Linked DNA regions of Rhinolophus ferrumequinum. Each later gene encodes a partner of the first gene's protein in a complex. Links are inferred from orthologs where the notes say so. Each region holds a gene or a part of one and is shown on either strand. Other genes may lie near its edges.

What was found.
Region 2: the proteins of NTRK2 (region 1) and NTF4 are in contact, whole or in part, in a crystal structure (PDB 1HCF), measured with the Homo sapiens proteins. The link is inferred for Rhinolophus ferrumequinum from reciprocal best matches to the Homo sapiens genes NTRK2 and NTF4. Residues at the interface, in NP_001018074.1 of Homo sapiens: Phe291, Glu293, Thr296, Ser297, Asp298, His299, Cys302, Pro304, Thr306, His335, Val336, His343, Gly344, Cys345, Asn350, Thr352, His353, Met379, Gly380, Trp381, Pro382, Gly383; in NP_001382418.1 of Homo sapiens: Gly81, Val82, Ser83, Glu84, Thr85, Ala86, Ser89, Arg90, Arg91, Gly92, Glu93, Leu94, Ala95, Asp98, Ala99, Ser101, Gly102, Trp103, Thr105, Tyr135, Phe137.

What each region holds. Positions count from the first base shown.
Region 1 is NC_046295.1:47,787,061-47,795,707, forward strand, and holds the start of NTRK2 (BDNF/NT-3 growth factors receptor), read left to right. Parts: upstream 1-5,358; 5' UTR 5,359-5,649; intron 5,650-6,193; exon of another isoform or gene 6,194-6,297; intron 6,298-6,407; exon of another isoform or gene 6,408-6,560; 5' UTR 6,561-6,848; intron 6,849-7,246; 5' UTR 7,247-7,609; coding exon 7,610-7,821; intron 7,822-8,647. UniProt on the Homo sapiens protein: Receptor tyrosine kinase involved in the development and the maturation of the central and the peripheral nervous systems through regulation of neuron survival, proliferation, migration, differentiation, and synapse formation and plasticity.
Region 2 is NC_046298.1:44,372,502-44,381,255, reverse strand, and holds NTF4 (neurotrophin-4), read left to right. Parts: upstream 1-5,569; 5' UTR 5,570-5,862; intron 5,863-6,805; 5' UTR 6,806-6,929; intron 6,930-7,525; 5' UTR 7,526-7,537; coding exon 7,538-8,170; 3' UTR 8,171-8,590; downstream 8,591-8,754. Other genes in the region: KCNA7 (potassium voltage-gated channel subfamily A member 7), read left to right, coding at 937-1,752. UniProt on the Homo sapiens protein: Target-derived survival factor for peripheral sensory sympathetic neurons. May promote ameloblast differentiation and subsequent reduction in proliferation of ameloblasts.

The DNA.
Region 1 (8,647 bases):
ATTTCATTGTATTCGACACAATTTGTTTACCCATTCACCTGTTGATGAATATTTGGATTGCTTCTAGTTTTTGCCTGTACAAAAAAAAAAAAAAAAGAAAAAAAAAGCTGCATGGACACTTATGTTAAGTCTTTGTATGGACATATGTTTTTATTTTTCTTGGGACAATACATAAAATTGGAATGGCTGGATCACGTGGTAGGTATATGAGTCACTTTTCAAGAAAGTGCTCTACCACTATGGAAAACAGTATGGAGGTATCTCAAAAATCTGAAAATGGAACTACCCTATGATCCAGTAATCCCACTCCTAGGTATCTATCCGGAGAAATCCAAAACTCCAATTCAAAAATCTTTATGCACTCCTATGTTTATTGCAGCACTATACACAATAGCCAAGACATGGAAACAACCAAAATGCCCATCGGTAGATGATTGGATTAAAAAACTGTGGTACATTTATACAATGGAGTATTACGCAGCCATAAAGAAGAAAGAAATCTTATCATTTGCAACAACATGGATGGACCTAGAGAACATTATGTTAAGTGAAATAAGTCAGACAGAGAAAGATAAGTACCATATGATCTCACTTATTTGCGGAATCTAAAGAAAAGAATAAGTGAATGAACTAACCAGAAACAGTGTTGGAGACAAAGAGGAAAAACTGAGGATTGCTAGATGGGCGGGGGGGGGGTGGGTGGTGGGTGAAGGGATTGAAGGGCAGTCGGTGACCACAGGATGGCCACGGGGTTTGAAAATTAATCTGGGGAACGTAATTTAGCGGTTACCAGAGGGTAAAGGGGTTGGGGGTGGGAGATGAGGGTAAGGGGGATCAAATATACGGTGATGGAAGGAGAACTGACTCTGGGTGGTGAACACACAATGTAATTTATAGATGATGTGATATAGAATTGCACACCTGAAATCTATGTAATTTTAATAACAATTGTCACCCCAATAAATTTAAATAAAAAAAAAGGAAAAAAAAAAAAAAAAGAAAGTGCTCTACTTTTCCAAAGTGGTTGTACCATTTTTCATTCCCACCAGCAGTGTATGAGACTTCCCATTACCCTATAGTCTTATCAACACTTGAGTCTTTTTAATATTAACCAATCCAATTGGTGTGTAGGTATCCCATTGTAGTTTTAATTTGTATTTCTCCAGAGACTAATGATGTTGAGCATCTTCTCATGTGCTTATTTGCCACCTGTGTACTTTCTTCGGTAGAGTATATGTTCACATTATTTGCACACTTAAAAAAATATTTTTTTATTATTATTGCGTTTTGAGAGTCCTTTATAAATTTTGGACAAACCCTTTATCAAATATATGATTTGCATATATGTCTCCGATTTTGTGGCTCTTCTTTTCATTCTCTTAACAGTATCTTTTGAAGAACAGGAATTAGTAATTTTTATAAGATCCAATTTATCCATCCTTTTCCTTTTCAATTTGTGCTTTAAGTATTTCGTATATTTATACTATTGTAATTAGTATTATTTTTTTACAAATTTAATTCCTGTTTTTTTTGCTAGTATATAGATACAATTAATTTATAAACACTTCACTTGTATCCTGAAAACTGGATGATTCACTTATTAGTATGAATAGCTTTTTTGTAGATTCTATGGGGTTTTCTATATAGGAGATCAAGTTGTCTGTTTATGAAGATAATTTTATTCTTCTTTTCCAGTTTGGATGCCTTTTACTTCTACTTCTTGACTTATTGCACTGACTAGAATCTCCAGAGAAATGCTACATAGAAATGGTGAAAATGAATAAATATCTTTCTGATATTTGGGAAAAAGCATTCCATCTTCTACTTTAAGCACTATGTTAGCTGTAGGTTTTTTGTTGATTCCATTTATCAGTTGAGGATATTTCTTTTTATTTCTAGTTTGCTGAGTTGGATTTGGTCAAATTGAGGTGATCATATAATTTTAGATTATATATATATCTTTTGAGATGATTGTATAATTTTAGATTTTTAGTTTGTAAATATGGTAAATTACATTTTTGAATATTAGACCAAAAAAATTTGTTTTTGGAATAAACCTCACTTGGTCACGATGTTGTTGGATGTTTGATGTTTTGCTGGGTTCAATTTGTGGAAATTTTGTTTAGAATTTTAACATTATGAGGGATATTGGTTTGCTGTTTTCTTTTTTTGTAATGTCTTTGTTTGATTTTGGTATCAAGCCAAATGCTAGCCCCATAGAATGAGTTGGAACATGTTCTTTCATCTTCATTTTTCTGGGATGATTATGATACTATTAATTTTCTGGTATTATTTTTCCTTCATTGTTTTGTAAAACTCACCAGAAAGTCATTTGGGCCTGAAGTTTTCTTCATGGGAAGGTTTTTAACTATAAATTCAATTTCTGAAATAGACACAGGACTATTCAGGTTATCTGTTTCTTCTATAGTGAGCTTTGTAAGCTTGTATCTCTTAAGGAATATGTCCATTTCATTTAAGTTATAAAACTTACTTGCATAAAGTTGTTCACAGTATTTTCTTATTATTGCTTTACTATCCATAGATTAAGTGATATCATTGATCTTATTCTTGTTATTGATAATTTATGTCTTTTCTCTTTCATTCCTGGTCAGTTTGGCCTGCGGTTTATTAATTTTATTCATCTTCTCAAAGAATCAGCTTTTGGCTTCAGTGATTTTCTCTCCTGTTTTTCTGTTTTCTATTGCATTGTTTCCAACTCTGATCTTTATTATTTCTTCTCTTCTGTTTACTTTGTATTTAATTTTCTTTTCATTTTTCTGGCTTCTTCAGGTGGAAACTGAGTTCACTGGTTAGAGACCTTTCTTCCTTTCTAATTAGGAATTTAGTGCTATAATTTAAGATGCTTTAGGGGCATCTCACAAATTATTTTAAAAAAATTTGTTTAATATCTTCCCCCCCCCAGTTTTATTGAAGTATAATTGACATGTAAATATAAATTTTTATATGTAATGTTTTCCATTTCCCTTTTGAATTTTTCTTTGACCTTGTTCCTTTAATCCTTTTGGCACTTCTTTCTCTGGCCCCAGGCAGTTTCATCACCTGCATGTGCTAATCTGTACTCTGCTGAATACTTGAGAGGGACCTTCTGCAGACCTCTGGAGTTCTCTCTCTGTACCTTACTCTTTTCCCTGCTCCTCTGTCCTTGTGAACTCTGCCCTCCTTGATTTTCCTGAACACTCAGCTATGTCTCCTCAAATCAGGGAGTTGGGCTCTGCCTGAGTTCCCTCTCCCTGAGCCACAGCCTTCATTGTCTTATGTCTACAGTCTTGAGAATTGTTATTTCAAGTATTTTGTTCAGTGTGTTGATGATTTGGTTGGGAGGTTAAATCTGTCCCCTATTACTACATCTTAGTAAGAAGCAGAAGCTGGCAGTATTTTTTTTTTCCACTACCCAGTTTTGGATAGTAAAATTAACTTATTGGGTTATAACAACCATTGAAAAATAAAATGGTATAAAATAGAAAATAAAAATGAGTGTATTCCATATATTAAGTGTAAATGAGTTTTGTTTTGTGAAGCTCTTTTTGAGTACATGCACACATATATGTGTTTATTGGATTGTGATATAAAACACATTTCATACTGTGGATTAAGATGAAAATAGTTTAAAAAATACTGTCCAAGGTGCATCATGGTCCAGTATGGGCAGGAGTCTGCAACACTCAGTCTCCATCTCTGCCTTGAAGAGTTCATATGATCTGGGGAAAACTACCCCTACTTCACTTTGTCCATCTGCAAAATGTTCATCATCTCCTATAAAACCATAGTTTGAGAATCCCTGAAATCTCTGTGAAATCTCTTGTAGTTCTTAAAATTGAGATTGACCCATATTTTTTATCAATTAAGAAATAGTTATTGATTGACCAGTGTGTTTCAGGCACTGTACATAATGTTATCAGCATGAATGTCAGGGAGGCCCTCTCTGTCCCAGAGCTAGATAGAACATACCTGGCTAGTAGGAAAGGCAGAAAGTAAGGCTTCAGGAATCTTCCCTGTGCCAGAACTCCTAGCACAGGGAGGACTCCGAGGTTGTGGAGATGGGAGGGAGAGTGTCCAGAGGGAATTATTCAGATGGACTTGTAGGACTGAAGGTTAAGAAAGCGAGAGTGTAGATGGACTGTTGGAGGAATCTCAATTTTTATTTATTCATTAAACACATACACACAGATATTTTAACACTTACTGTGTCCTTGGGATATATTAATGAACAAACTAAAGATCCATGCCTGCATGGAGTTTATGTTCTACTGGGAGAAATACGATATATAGTACACATAATAAATAAGTAAATGATTTGTTAAAAAATGGTAAGGACTATGAAACAGTAGGGGAAGGATGATTAGAAGTGGGGCTTCCAGTTTTAATTTTAAATGGGAGATATTTAGTAGGGGTATATTTAGAATCTAAATATAATAGTATATATGAATAAATACAAATTCTAAAAATATTACAGCATAATTAGAATCTTCTGGTCTGCAAACCACTCTGTGTCCTTTGGGTGCTGCACTGACACGTTGCAGCCACTAGGGCACAAATGGGCCATTTCTGAGAAAGAAAAAAAAGGGGGTGAGGGTGGGGTGTGAGAGAGATGTGTGTAATTATGCACACCCTTCCCTCGGGTATTCTGTAGGGGCAGTTCCATTAAGGACACTGGCAAGACAGGCGGAAGAGCGTTACTTTATGACCTGGACCAGACATTTTTGCCCTTTGCTTCCCTTCCTTGGCACGTCTTCACCCAGCAGGGGTTGGCAGCCTGGCAGAGAAATGAACTTCAGCCTGGCCATTCAACACCCAATGAGTGTCACAGCCAAGTGATCGTGGAGAGAGGCAGACCTGCTGGCTTTGTCTTCCGGCCCTGCAAGGAGATTTTTGGGCGCTACACGAGGATTCCTGCGATTACACTCAGCGTCGGGATTTTGCACAAAAGCTCCAGTAGATGCTTTCTCTTCCCTTGTAATATTTAAAACGTTACAGAGGTCTAAGTATTTACCTAGACTTTCAGGGTCTCGATCCTTCCCACCCCTGCCTCTTCACACAGATGGGCGACCATTCTTATCTTCTGGACGAGATCCCATTCATTTGCCCTTTCTGACGCCGAGTGCTGCCTGCGTTTTTCTCCGGCCGGAGCTCTATGAGGCCTGGCGGGCCACAAGCTGGCTGGGCAGGGGCGCGCACGCGTCGGGCGCCGCTGGTTGCGCATCTGGCGCCAGAGCGCGCCCCCTGCGCTGTGCCCGCCGCAGCCGCGGCCCTGGGTTGGTGCTCTCCAATGTGCCGGGCGCTCTCTCCCCGCGCGGGGGCACTAGAACCCTCCGAAGTGTCAGGCACTGCGGTGCATTTTCCCAGTTCCTTTTTAAATGACTGCGGAAAAAGAGACTCTCCGAGCCGCAAATGGGAAGACGGATTCTCAGACAAGGCTTGCGAATGCTCCGCAGCCATCATTTAACTGCGCCCGCAGAACAGTTACGGTTTGTCACCCGACCCTCCCGGATCGCCTCGTTTGTCCCTAACGAGACCCTGAGGCCCTGCTAGTGCTGGGCTTCTCGGTAGCTGGATTCATGTCGTGCTCTGGGCAGCGTGGGCGCGGGGCAAGCGTTCGCGCATACCCGCGCACACACGAAAACGCGCAAGGTACGGCAGGGGAGCAAGGGCTCTGGGTGACACGCATGGGGGTGGGCATCGCGGGGAGTGAAGCTACAATCTGGGAATGGCTGCATCCTGCCAGGTTGACAGATGAGAGAAAATGACGCGGCGCCACACATCGGACAGGCCAGCTTTGCGGCCGCGCATTTAGGGAACCCAATACGCGTCAGGCGCGCTCCTTTCCCCTCACAAGTCTCTATTTCCCTGGCGTGTGATGCCAGAAAACAGCAAGAAAAAGACCTACTTAGAGAGCTAGAGTTGCATTTGGAGACTACCCTTCCTCTGCAAAAACACCAACAGAAAGACCCTCGAAAACCACGGATCCCCAAATAGGTGGCCCAGAATGGGGGCGGTTATCCTTGGTTACCGATGCTGAACACGTTTTGGTGTTTACAATATTTATTTATTTTTAGGATAGCTCACCCTCCCTTTTAGGCAGGATGGGAAAGGAAAACGCAGCAGGGATAGAGAAGGGAGGGAGGATTCCTATAATAAGAATCAGCGCATTTTTCAGAGCTGAACCGAGCCCGGTTTCCATTTCAAAAAAGGAGACAGACTCTACTGCGATTGTGGAAGAGATTACGGTGTGAATTAGGGACTGGTAGGCGTTGAGCGGCCAAACAGTCCATCTCAGAGGTACCTGGATCTAAACACACACACACACACACACACACACACACACACACACACACGAGGCACGCGCGTCTACATGGCCAGGATGTGTGCGTGTATGCGCGTGTGTGAACTCCCACATGCTGCTGCTGTCTGCTTCTGACCAGTGGCACCGATGCCTGCCTCCTCCCTGCTCGCCCCCAGATTCCCCTCCCCTCCCCGTTGCTTTTGTCTGGAGGGTGTTATGGGTTTGTGTGTGTATGAGCGTGTGTGTTTTTGGATTTCAGACTAATTTTCTGGAGTTTCTGCCCCTGCTCTGCGTCAGCCCTCACGTCACTTCGCCAGCAGTAGCAGAGGCGGCGGCGGCGGCGGCTCCCGGAATTGGGTTGGAGCAGGAGCCTCGCTCGCTCCTTCTCTCCTGCTCTCCGCGCTCAGTGCCCAGAGACAGGAGGAGCCTGGACCCAGGCGCCGTCGGCTGGCGGTAGGCGCCGGAGCCCGGGTGAGCAGCGCGGACAGTGCCCTCCGTCGTCTTGGCCCTCACTGTCACCCCTGGGCGGCCTCAGGCGGCTCACCAGGTGGGACCGGCCGCGCCACCTGCCCGCGCCCCCTCTGCCCAGCGGCAATGACAGATTCTGCAGCATCATTCAGAGGCCCCGTCGCGGAGCCATCGCCGCTGGCAGTTCCTTCTTCCCCTTCTAAGGGGTCTTCTCCTGGCCTGTGCCATGGAATCCTGTCTCAGGAACCCTTGCCCTATCTCCCTTACCTCGACCTCAGGCTTGGAAAGAGGGTGGGCACATTGGTGGCCCCACCGGCATCAGTGCCATCGAGGGGCAAGTTTATTTTTGGGGTGGGAGCTGGGCACTCATCCATCCAATCTCCCGGCTGGGGTCCGGGTGGGGGTGATGCGAGCGCGGACCAATTCGTGGTGTTTGGAGTCCTGCGCTCAGTCTTATGCTTGTCTGTTTGTCCTCAGCCCCGAGGTGTGTCCCGAATCCCAGTGAGCCTCTAGCAAGAAGCCTGCGCCCCAGAGAGTCCCGGGAGCGCCGCGGGCCGGTGCCCAGCGCGCTGGGCCATGCAGTGGCGGCCGCGGCGGAGCTCCAAGCGGCGGGAGCGCCCCCTGTGAGACGGCCCAAGATGCCCCAGCGGCTGTGAACGGTGCTGCCCACCAGGACACAATCAGTCCCCGGACACGCTCGGCTCTGCGCGCCCGCAACCAGCACGGAATAGAGAGAGCTGCGAGCGCGGCAAAGACTGCCCAGCATCGGCTGGAGAGGCCAGCTGGTGCAGCCCAGGGACACGTACTCAGTCTGACTCGGGCTGGCACTGGCGGCTAGGGATGTCGTCCTGGATGAGGTGGCATGGACCCGCCATGGCGCGGCTCTGGGGCTTCTGCTGGTTGGTTGTGGGCTTCTGGAGGGCCGCTCTCGCCTGTCCCACGTCCTGCAAATGCAGCGCTACTCGGATCTGGTGCAGCGACCCTACTCCTGGCATCGTGGCGTTTCCGAGGCTGGTGCCTAACAGTGCAGATCCTGAGAACATCACCGAAATGTGAGTTCCTGATCATCTTTCTCCTTCTTTCTTCCCTGGCCCGTGGGGCTAGGGCCAGCCAGACCGGTCCGTCTTGGCTGTGAACGTTGTCTCAAGTCTGGGCAGAAGTCAGAAATGAGAGTTGCAGGGCTGTGCCATCTGTCAGTTACCTGTCTGTTTCACTGGCTTGGGGCTGATAACGCGGGAAGAAGTTTAAAATAAGTTTTAAGTTTACATGTCAATAATATATATAATTGACATGGAAGGCATTCCATTGTACTTTGTATTTCAAAGCCCTGCTGGTGTACTTTAGGATTTCCATATGCAATAACTTAGTTTTGGATATTTTTGTTTCATAAGGTGCAATGTGTTTGTTGTGTTAGGAGAAGTTCCAGTAATATTTACTAGAAAGGAGGTTAAGATAATTAACTTTTTGAAATCTGCTGAAGGAGATTAGAGACCCCGTTAACATTTTTTCTCTGAGGTTTGGCATTCACCAATTTCCCTTTTCATTTTATATATCAGATTTTGCTTAGGAGATTGCATCCAGAGATGGCCTTGAAAATGATCTGTAAGAGGAGAAGTTCTGAGTGTTGAAATGCACTCACTCAAAAGGGAAAATGTGATCGTTGGAAGCCTAAAAGCCTGGTCTGATTTAATTTGGACTTGACTTCCCAGAGATATAATTTTTAGACCATTTGGATTATGAATCTTAATTGCCCATTGAATATTTTCCCAGGACTAGGTTGGATGATCAAGCAGTGTGTAGTACTCAGATAAACGCTGCCTTTAGCATGGGATCCCATACACCCCCGGGAATGTTTGAGCTTGTCCTGATCTGATGGAG
Region 2 (8,754 bases), on another chromosome or scaffold:
GGAACCCGGCCAATCAAAACACGGGTTAAGGGGCAGGAGGAGGCGGGCCTCTCAGGAAGGTGGGGTCTGGCTGTGGGTGGGCGGGGCATGGTGGTCTGGTGGGAGGACCTGGCCAATCATAGGTGGGGCAAGGGGCTTTGAGGAATGAGCAACCCAGGGACAGGGCCTGACCAGGGCATTCCACCATTAAAAGCTGGGGCTTGGGAAGGTACAGTTATTGGGGGCGGGCCTGAGGATCTGAATAGGTGGGCCTGCCCTTTCAGAAGGCAGGGTTAAAGTAGATGAGAAACCTGGCTTGAGGAGGGCAGGAGGACAGGAGTACAGGTACATTAGGAAATCAAAGGTGGTGGGTGGAGGAGAGCCTGAAAAATCAGGTCTGTGCACCTGACAGTAACCAATGGGAAGGATGGAGTGGAAGTGGTGAGAATCGGTCCTGAAGAAAGTAGCTGAGAGAGTTGGAGACAGAGGGATGGGTCCCATAGGGCTAGGGTAGGAAGAATACATCACAGAGAAAGTTGGGCTGAGGCAGTGAGGGGAGAGCCCCCAGGTTTGAAAGACAGAAAAGTCTTTAACCATTATAGTCTGGGCTGGGTTTGGGAGGGCACTGCACAAGGGTGTGGGGCCAGGGTGGGGATCCTCCCTACCTAGAAAAATCAATGCTTGGAGGCAGGCTTTGGGAGGGAAGAGGTTGAGTCCCACTCAAGCATCATTTTATGAGGCCCCTCCAGTAAAAGATGAGGGACCATAAAGTCAGACATTCAGGGACAAGCCCTGGGGTCCTTGGAAAGAGTCTATGACAACTGAGTCACTGGCCTCCTGGGGCAGCGGCTATTGAGCAATTTGTAGATAAGTAGTTGGATATTTAAACAACATATGTGGCTGTTCCAGTGTGTCCCAGCCTGGTGTGGTCCTCCCTGAACCCCTTCCTTCCTGCAGTTCCTTACTCGGCTGAACAGCTCCAACCCTGTGCCTGGACCTCCACCTCGCACCCCCTTCGATGACCCATTCTTTGTGGTAGAGACATTGTGCATCTGTTGGTTCTCCTTCGAGCTGCTGGTGCGCCTGTTGGCCTGTCCAAGCAAGGCGGCCTTCTTCAAGAATGTGATGAACCTCATTGATTTTGTGGCCATCCTGCCCTACTTTGTGGCGCTGGGCACCGAGCTGGCCCGGCAGCGGGGGGTGGGCCAGCCAGCCATGTCACTGGCCATCCTTCGCGTCATCCGACTGGTGCGCGTCTTCCGCATCTTCAAGCTGTCCCGGCACTCAAAGGGCCTGCAGATCTTGGGCCAGACGCTACGGGCCTCCATGCGTGAGCTGGGCCTCCTCATCTTTTTCCTCTTCATTGGTGTGGTCCTCTTCTCCAGCGCAGTCTACTTTGCCGAGGTCGACCGGGCAGACTCCCATTTCACCAGTATCCCTGAGTCCTTCTGGTGGGCAGTGGTCACCATGACCACAGTCGGCTATGGCGACATGGCGCCCGTCACTGTGGGTGGCAAGATAGTGGGCTCACTGTGCGCCATCGCTGGTGTGCTGACCATTTCCCTGCCTGTGCCCGTCATTGTCTCCAACTTCAGCTACTTTTACCACCGGGAGACAGAGGGAGAGGAGCCTGGGATGTATAGCCATGTGGACACGCAGCCCTGTGGCCCACTCGAGGGCAAGGTCAATGGCGGGTTGGTGGATGGAGAGGTGCCTGAGCTACCGCCTCCCCTCTGGGCACCCCCTGGGAAACACATGGTCACCGAAGTGTGAGGGACAGTTGAGGCCTGCAGGACCTCACACTTCCTTGGAGGGAGGCGGGAAGGGAGGGATGAAGGGCAAGGTTGGGGGGAGGGGGTTGGGTTTAGGAAGAACTAGGTTAAGTGGTAATGAGTTGGGGAACACTGAGTCTTATTGGGTCTTGAGTTGTGGGTTGGTGGCTCCTATGGGTACCTCCTTAGGTGGCAGTGAATGGCAGCGGGTTATGCTGAGTTGAGGGGGAGACTGTGCTAGTTTGTATTGCATTGGGTTGTGCAAGTCTCGTGGAGTCTTTTGGGGTAGTGTTGAAAAAAGGTTCGGTCACATAGTTTTGTGAGTTTCTTACTTCCATGCTGGATTGGGTTGTCAGTCTGGGTGAGTTGTGTCCAACTATGTTGTGCAGGATTCTGTGGTTTTATGAGTCCCCCAGGGCCATGTTGGGTCAAGTTAGGTGGCCACCCACGGCATTATTGGGACTAATTGCGTGCTCATGCATGGTGTTGTGGAGTTGAGACATGTTGAAAATTGTGTGACTTCGTGATTCTTCTAGAGCTATGTTATTTTAGGTTCTGTGAACTTGTGAGTCATGTGGAAATACGAAGAGTCAAGTGATAGAATGTGAGCTTTCTAGGTCACATCAGGTTAAGTTGGCTTGGAATGTATGACCCTATGAGTCTCCCAGGATTCTGTTGGGTTGGATTGTGTAGAGTTATGTGGCTGGAAGTTTTTCGGGGCCACTGGAGTTGAGTTGTATTGAGTTGTATAACCATTCAAGTCTCGTAGGGCCATGCTGAGCTGAGTTACATCAAGTTGTGTCATTGTGAGTCCCGTAGGAATGTTGGGTTGAGTTGGGCTGTGTGTATGAGCTCCACAGGGCTATGTTGGTTTGTTTTGCATTTAGTGGTAGCACCAGAACCTGAGGATAACAGCACTGGGGAGGAATCATGTATCAGGGAGAGAGTGTGGTATTATGGACTCTGGGAGAAAAACTGAACTGGCTCGCCCAGTGTCACTCACCATAAGGGTGGGGCTGGGTTCTGTATCCATAGATTCAGTTGTTCATGAAGAGAGCCTCTGGGTCAAGTAGGAAGATGTAGACATTCCTGTTTACCAACCCGCTTCGTTTTGCCATTCAAACCCCCTTACTATCTGTCCTCCCCTACAGTTTTGCTTCCAGGAATGGAGATCAGAGCCACAGGGAAGAGAGCGACGGGATGACACTGTACTCTGTCCAGACATGATGGGGGGGACAGAAACCCAGAGGAGTGAGACAGAGACCAGAGGAGGGATGGAGAATCAGAGAAAGAAAGAGACAGAAACCCAGGGAAGAGGGGACAAAGGCCCAAAGAGAGGAACAGAGACTCAGGGAGGAGGAGACAATGACCCAGAGGGAAGGGGACAGAAATCCAAAAAGAGAGGGGGACAGAGACCAAGAGTGGAGGATAGAGACCCAGAGGGGGTGTCCAGCACCCAGAGAAAGAGGGACAGACACCCAGAGCTATAGGCAGACCAGAGTGCCCCAGAGAAAGCCAAGAGAGAAAAAGTTAGTGCTCTGAGACTGAGAGAGATACACAGAGTCTCTATTCCATGGAATCACAAAGAAATCCCCAAATTGGGGCACGCCACCCCATCCTCCCATCAGACAAACAGGGGAGAAACCAGAGTCTTAGAGCATGAGAATGGCTTCCCAAGTCACGCGGCCTGTCACCAGGGGCCAGGACTTGTGGCAGGCTGCCTGCCACATCAGCCTGCTGGTACGCACAGGACCTCTGAGTCCAAACAGCCTCACAAACAAGGAAACTGAGGCTCAGAGGGGAGGATGTTACCCAGAGTCACACAGCCATACAGTTTCAGAAGTCTTTCAGTACTAAAAGGGCATTTCGAGGACGAGGAAAAGAAGAAGGGGAGGGTTAAATCACTAACACATATAGGGCTTCCTATGTGTCAGGTATCATTCAAAGTCCTTTACTTGTATTAATTTATTAAAACCCATCCAGTGGTTTACAGAGTGTTGTTCTTGTTCTTCTTCTTCTTTTTAGCTCTAACAAACTCCCCCCCCCTACTTTTTTTTTGGTCAAATGAAATTTTACCTAGAGGCACCAGGGTGACACATCAGAAGGGAACTGGTTTGAGGGGAACACACCTCTTCTGGAGCCCCTCTTGGCAACTCAGAATGCAGCTAAGAAATTCAGTTTGAAAACCTGTGATTTAATCCAACCACCTTTAATACAGAGAGAAAGAAGAAAATACAGATTGTGGGAAGAGTTTGATAAAGGTCGGAAATAATTTAGATTGTCACTTCCCTCTGAAATGGAGAGAAAAGCACATCTGGAGACAGAAATGGAGACAGAGTCCCTCACTGTTGCAAACACAAAACAGAGTCTTGTAGGCAGGTACAGAGCCCAGCATAGAGATTGGAAGAGGAGACACACGCAGAAAGGAACCCAAGATCTGCAGAGAGAACAGAGACAGAAGCTAAGAGAAACACCCACCGGGAGGAGGAGGAGGAGAGAGCAGGGCAGTGGCCTGGGAGAGGGTCAGACGCTCAGGGTGAGGACAGAGACCTACAGGCAGGAGAAAGAACCAGAGAGTGGAGCTAAGAAATCCAGAGGAGGGAGGGGAAACGGACTCAAAGAGAGAGGAGCAGAGACCCAGACAGAGGGGGACCGGCATGGGGGGGTGGAAAACGGAGGGGGGAGATAGAGACCCAGAGAGGAGGGGCCAGGGACCAGAGAGAGGGGCACAGACCCAGAGAGAGGGGGATGGAGAGACTCAGAGAAAGGGAGACAGAGACCCAGACAGAGAGGGACAGAGACCCAGAGTATGGGGAGAGGGGGGACAGATACTGTTGCCCAGTTACTTTTCTTTGCGAACTCACCTGTACTACCCCGTCAGAGACTAGGAGTTACACAGAGTCCCTCTGGTAGGGGGCGGGACATGCTGGGTGCTTAGGGGTGGGGGAAAGTGTGGAGAGGTCAGGGCGGTGACTTGAATGGACACTCAATGACTGAGAAGCGCCCCTCCCCCACCCCAATAAACAACTGCAGCCACCTTTTATGTTGCCTTGGCTGGGATGGGGAAGAGGAGAGGGGAACACCCTAATCTGGGGACACCCTTCCTGCCACCTTGCCATGCTATATTTAGATTGAGGGAGGGGTACGGGATGCCTCTTACCCCCACCCCCCAAGACAGGTGTCAGTTTTCCTCCTGAAAATAGCTCCAGGGGAGAGATGAAGTGTTCTGCAGCAGGACTGTCTGGAACTCCAACTCCCATTTCCGTCTGTCTTAGGGTCCCTCTCTCTGGCTTTATGTCCCCTTTTCCTCTCCGTTTCTGTGCCTGTCCCGGTCTGCCTTCATCTGTCACTATTCGCTTTCTTTCTCTAAGGTCATTCTGTTTCCAAGTCATACCTGTCTATCTCCGAATCCTATACTACCTTGAATTTCTCTTATCTGAGCTCAGGACAAGACCCTCTCCCCAGTCCCCACCCAGGAAATTCCAGGAGAGAGGACTATGCGGGAGAGCCGCCACATCCACTGTCTCCCGGGGCGGCGGGCCTTATCACTGCCCAAGCCCAGCTGGTTAATGTCTGGGCTGGAGCTCCTGGGAAAGTGGGGGTGAGAGCAGAGGATGGGAATCTGCCTGGGGATTGACACTTAATTGGCAAAAGAATGCAAAGGAATCTCGGGCCCAGACTCCTGGGTCTGAGGGAGGAGGTGGCTAGGGGTCCCCATTCCTGGGTCTGAGGGAGGAGGGGGCTGAAACGGGGGGAAGAAAGGGCCGGGGGTCCAGACTACTGGTCTGAGGGAAGAGAGGGCTTGAGGGACCCCGGACTCCTGGGTTTGAGAGAGGAGGGGGCTGGCGCCTGGCCTCCTGGGACTGAGACGGGCGGAGGGCTGAACGAGCCAGGCCAGGCTTCCGAGGTCCCGGCCCGCGTGTGGAAGGCGGGATCCCCCGGCCCCTCCTCCGCCGTCGGGCGCCGCCACGCCCCCGCGCCCGACCCGGGCCCTCCTGAGCGTGTGCAGCGAGGAACCGGCGGGCGAGCGGGCGTCCGTGCAGCCAGCGAGCAGGAGGAGGAGCCGCCGCCGCCCCAGGGGCAGTCGGAGGAGCAGAGGAGGACGCCCCAGGTAAGAGCCTCGGCGTCTCCTCCCCTGGGATTCCGGTGTCCCGGTCGCCCTGCCCCCGGGTAGGGAGGGACGTGGGCGGGGCCGGCGGGGGCGGGGCTTGGCGGAGGAAACTGAGGCAGGAGAAAAGTGTGTGAGATGAGAAGCGGGTTACCCCCAGTGAGGTCTCAGGAATGCTGAGCCCCAGCCTGAATCTTCTGGGAGTCCGTATATCTGAGCACCTGGGGAGGCGGGTCCTTGAACTTCAGAACTCTCAGGGAGGAGGGGCTGAGGGCCTGGACGCCTGGGTCTGAGGGAGGAGGGGACTGGAGGCCCTGACTCCTTAGTCTGAGGGAAGAAGGATTTGGGGTCCTGGACTTCTCCATCTGGGAGGGGAGGTCTGGGGGGGGCTGGACTCCAAGGGACAGGCAGCTGGGGACCAGGACTCCTGGTGTGAGGGAGGAGGCAGCTGAGGACCCTACACTCCTGGTCCTGGTTGGGTCAACATGTGCCTCTCTTCACACCCCACTTTCCCATTACCCATCTCCCAGCCAGGGCAGGCAGCCACTCCAGGTATGTGCAGTAGAAGTCTTGGACGGGCCCTGGCCTGTCCTGTGTGGAGAGAACATTCCAGGAAGCAGCCTCGGGGACCCAGGGCTTCTTGAGTGTGGGCCCTCAGGGACCCGGGTGTCCAGGCCAGCCCCGCCCCTGCCCTGTCTGGGAGATGAATGGGCCCAGGAGGATGTAATCTTTTCCAGCCTCTCCCCTCCCCTCTTTTCCCCGCATCTGCTTCCCATCCCAGCCAGGAGCCATCACCTGGGCAGGGAAGGGGCCTCTGGAAGGGGGTGAGGCTTTGACTCTTGGGTACCTTACACTTTAAGAGGAACACTCTGAAGGGGAGTGTCCAGGGAATCAGGCCCCCTCCCCCACTTGCCTATATAACCTGCCTGTTCCCTTCTTCACCTAGGTGGTTGCCCCCTCCGTCTCCTGAGATGTCAGGAAGGAGGGGGCCACCTGTGTCCCCCACAGGGCCCCCCTGGAGCCAGGGGGCCCCCACCCTGGGAGCTCGGAGACGGAGGAGGTGCTGACAGGTCTGGTAACTACCCAGTCCCCTCCACACCACCCTTTCCCAGAACTACAGGCTTCCAGAATATTGTAGAGAAACTGCAGTGTCCACACCCCCACCTGAATCTCCCAGCCCCAGGTCAATTTCACAGACAGGGAAACTGAGGCCCTGCCTGGGAGAGAAAGTGTCTTGCCTTCTTAGTGGCAGTTTTGAGCTGAACTTGGGTCTCTGTAGGATTTCAGATCATGGTCTTTCTCAGAATTTTGGAACCTCAAACCTCCTCCAGGCTATAGGACTTAGGGTTCCTTGGGGTTGTCAAGGCAGTATGGCAGAGTGGAGTTGCTCAGACAGGGTTTGAGTCCCATCTCTGGCATTTGCAGGCTGTGTGACCTGGGACAAGTCACTAACCTCTCTGAGCCTGTATTTCTCCAATTGTTGGCTATTATTAGTAATAGAGGTAGAATAATTATGATTAATCTAAAATTTGGATATTATTCAATCCTAGCATATAGGGTCCCCCAAGGTTCTAGAACAAATGCCCCCCTGTGGTTCTGGCATGCAGGTCCTCTCCTAAATTGTTACCCTCTTTTCTAACTCCAGCTTCCCTGTCTTCATCCTCAGGTGCTCAGCGAAATGCTCCGGCACCCCTCATGCTCCCTCCCCATCCTCCTCCTTTGCCTTCTCCCCAGTGTCCCAGTGGAACCCCACCCCCCACCCTCACCACTGCCCCCATTTCCAGCCCCTGAGTGGGACCTCCTGTCTCCTCGAGTTGTCCTGTCCAGGGGTACCCCTGCGGGCCCTCCTCTACTCTTTCTGCTGGAGGCCGGGGCCTTTGGGGAGCCAGCAGGCAGCCCAGCTAACCGAAGTAGGCGAGGGGTGAGTGAGACAGCACCAGCAAGTCGCCGGGGAGAGCTGGCGGTGTGCGATGCAGTCAGCAGCTGGGTGACAGACCGCCGGACAGCTGTGGACCTGCGTGGGCGTGAGGTGGAGGTGCTAGGCGAGGTGCCTGCAGCTGGCGGCAGTCCCCTTCGCCAGTACTTCTTTGAGACTCGGTGCAAGACTGACAGCACTGGGGAAGGTGGCCCCGATGGAGGTGGAGGCGGCTGCCGGGGTGTGGACCGGAGGCACTGGGTGTCTGAGTGTAAGGCCAAGCAATCCTATGTGCGGGCATTGACCACTGATGCCCAGGGCCGTGTGGGCTGGCGATGGATTAGAATTGACACTGCCTGCGTCTGCACACTCCTCAGCCGGACTGGCCGGGCCTGATGCCCATGCCCGGGAATTGGGCAACCAGAGGAAGAAGAGAGCTGGATGCTGAGGGACATCAGGGGTGGCCTGGCTGCTCTGGGTATCAGTTTGGTAACTTGTCAAATGGTCACAAAATCACAGCTCTCTGATCTTGACAGCTCAATCTGTGCAAGACAGGTGGTGAAACCAAATGGGGTTTTGAAGGATGAATAGGAGTTTTCGGATAAACTCGAGGGTGATGATGATGACAGCCAATGTTTTGAATGCCTCCTGTTTATCAGCTCTCATACACAGCTTGTCAGATCAACTGGGGTGGATTTGGCCATTGGAGGCCCTTGGCTTCTGAGTTACTGACCATATGATCTCAGAGGACATCACTTTGCCCATCCTGGAGAGAACAACGAGGGGATATGTCAAGAAGTGGGTGGAGGAGCTTAAAAACTGGAACATGTGAGCAACTAAATGGGAGCTAGGGTTTGAATGGGAAATTTACTTGGTCAGATGGGGCAAGAATTTATTTTGAGGTAGTGAACTACCCATCACAGTAGGAGCACAAGCAGGTTGAATGATAGGAGATCAGGATGCTAGAGAATTTGGCCCTG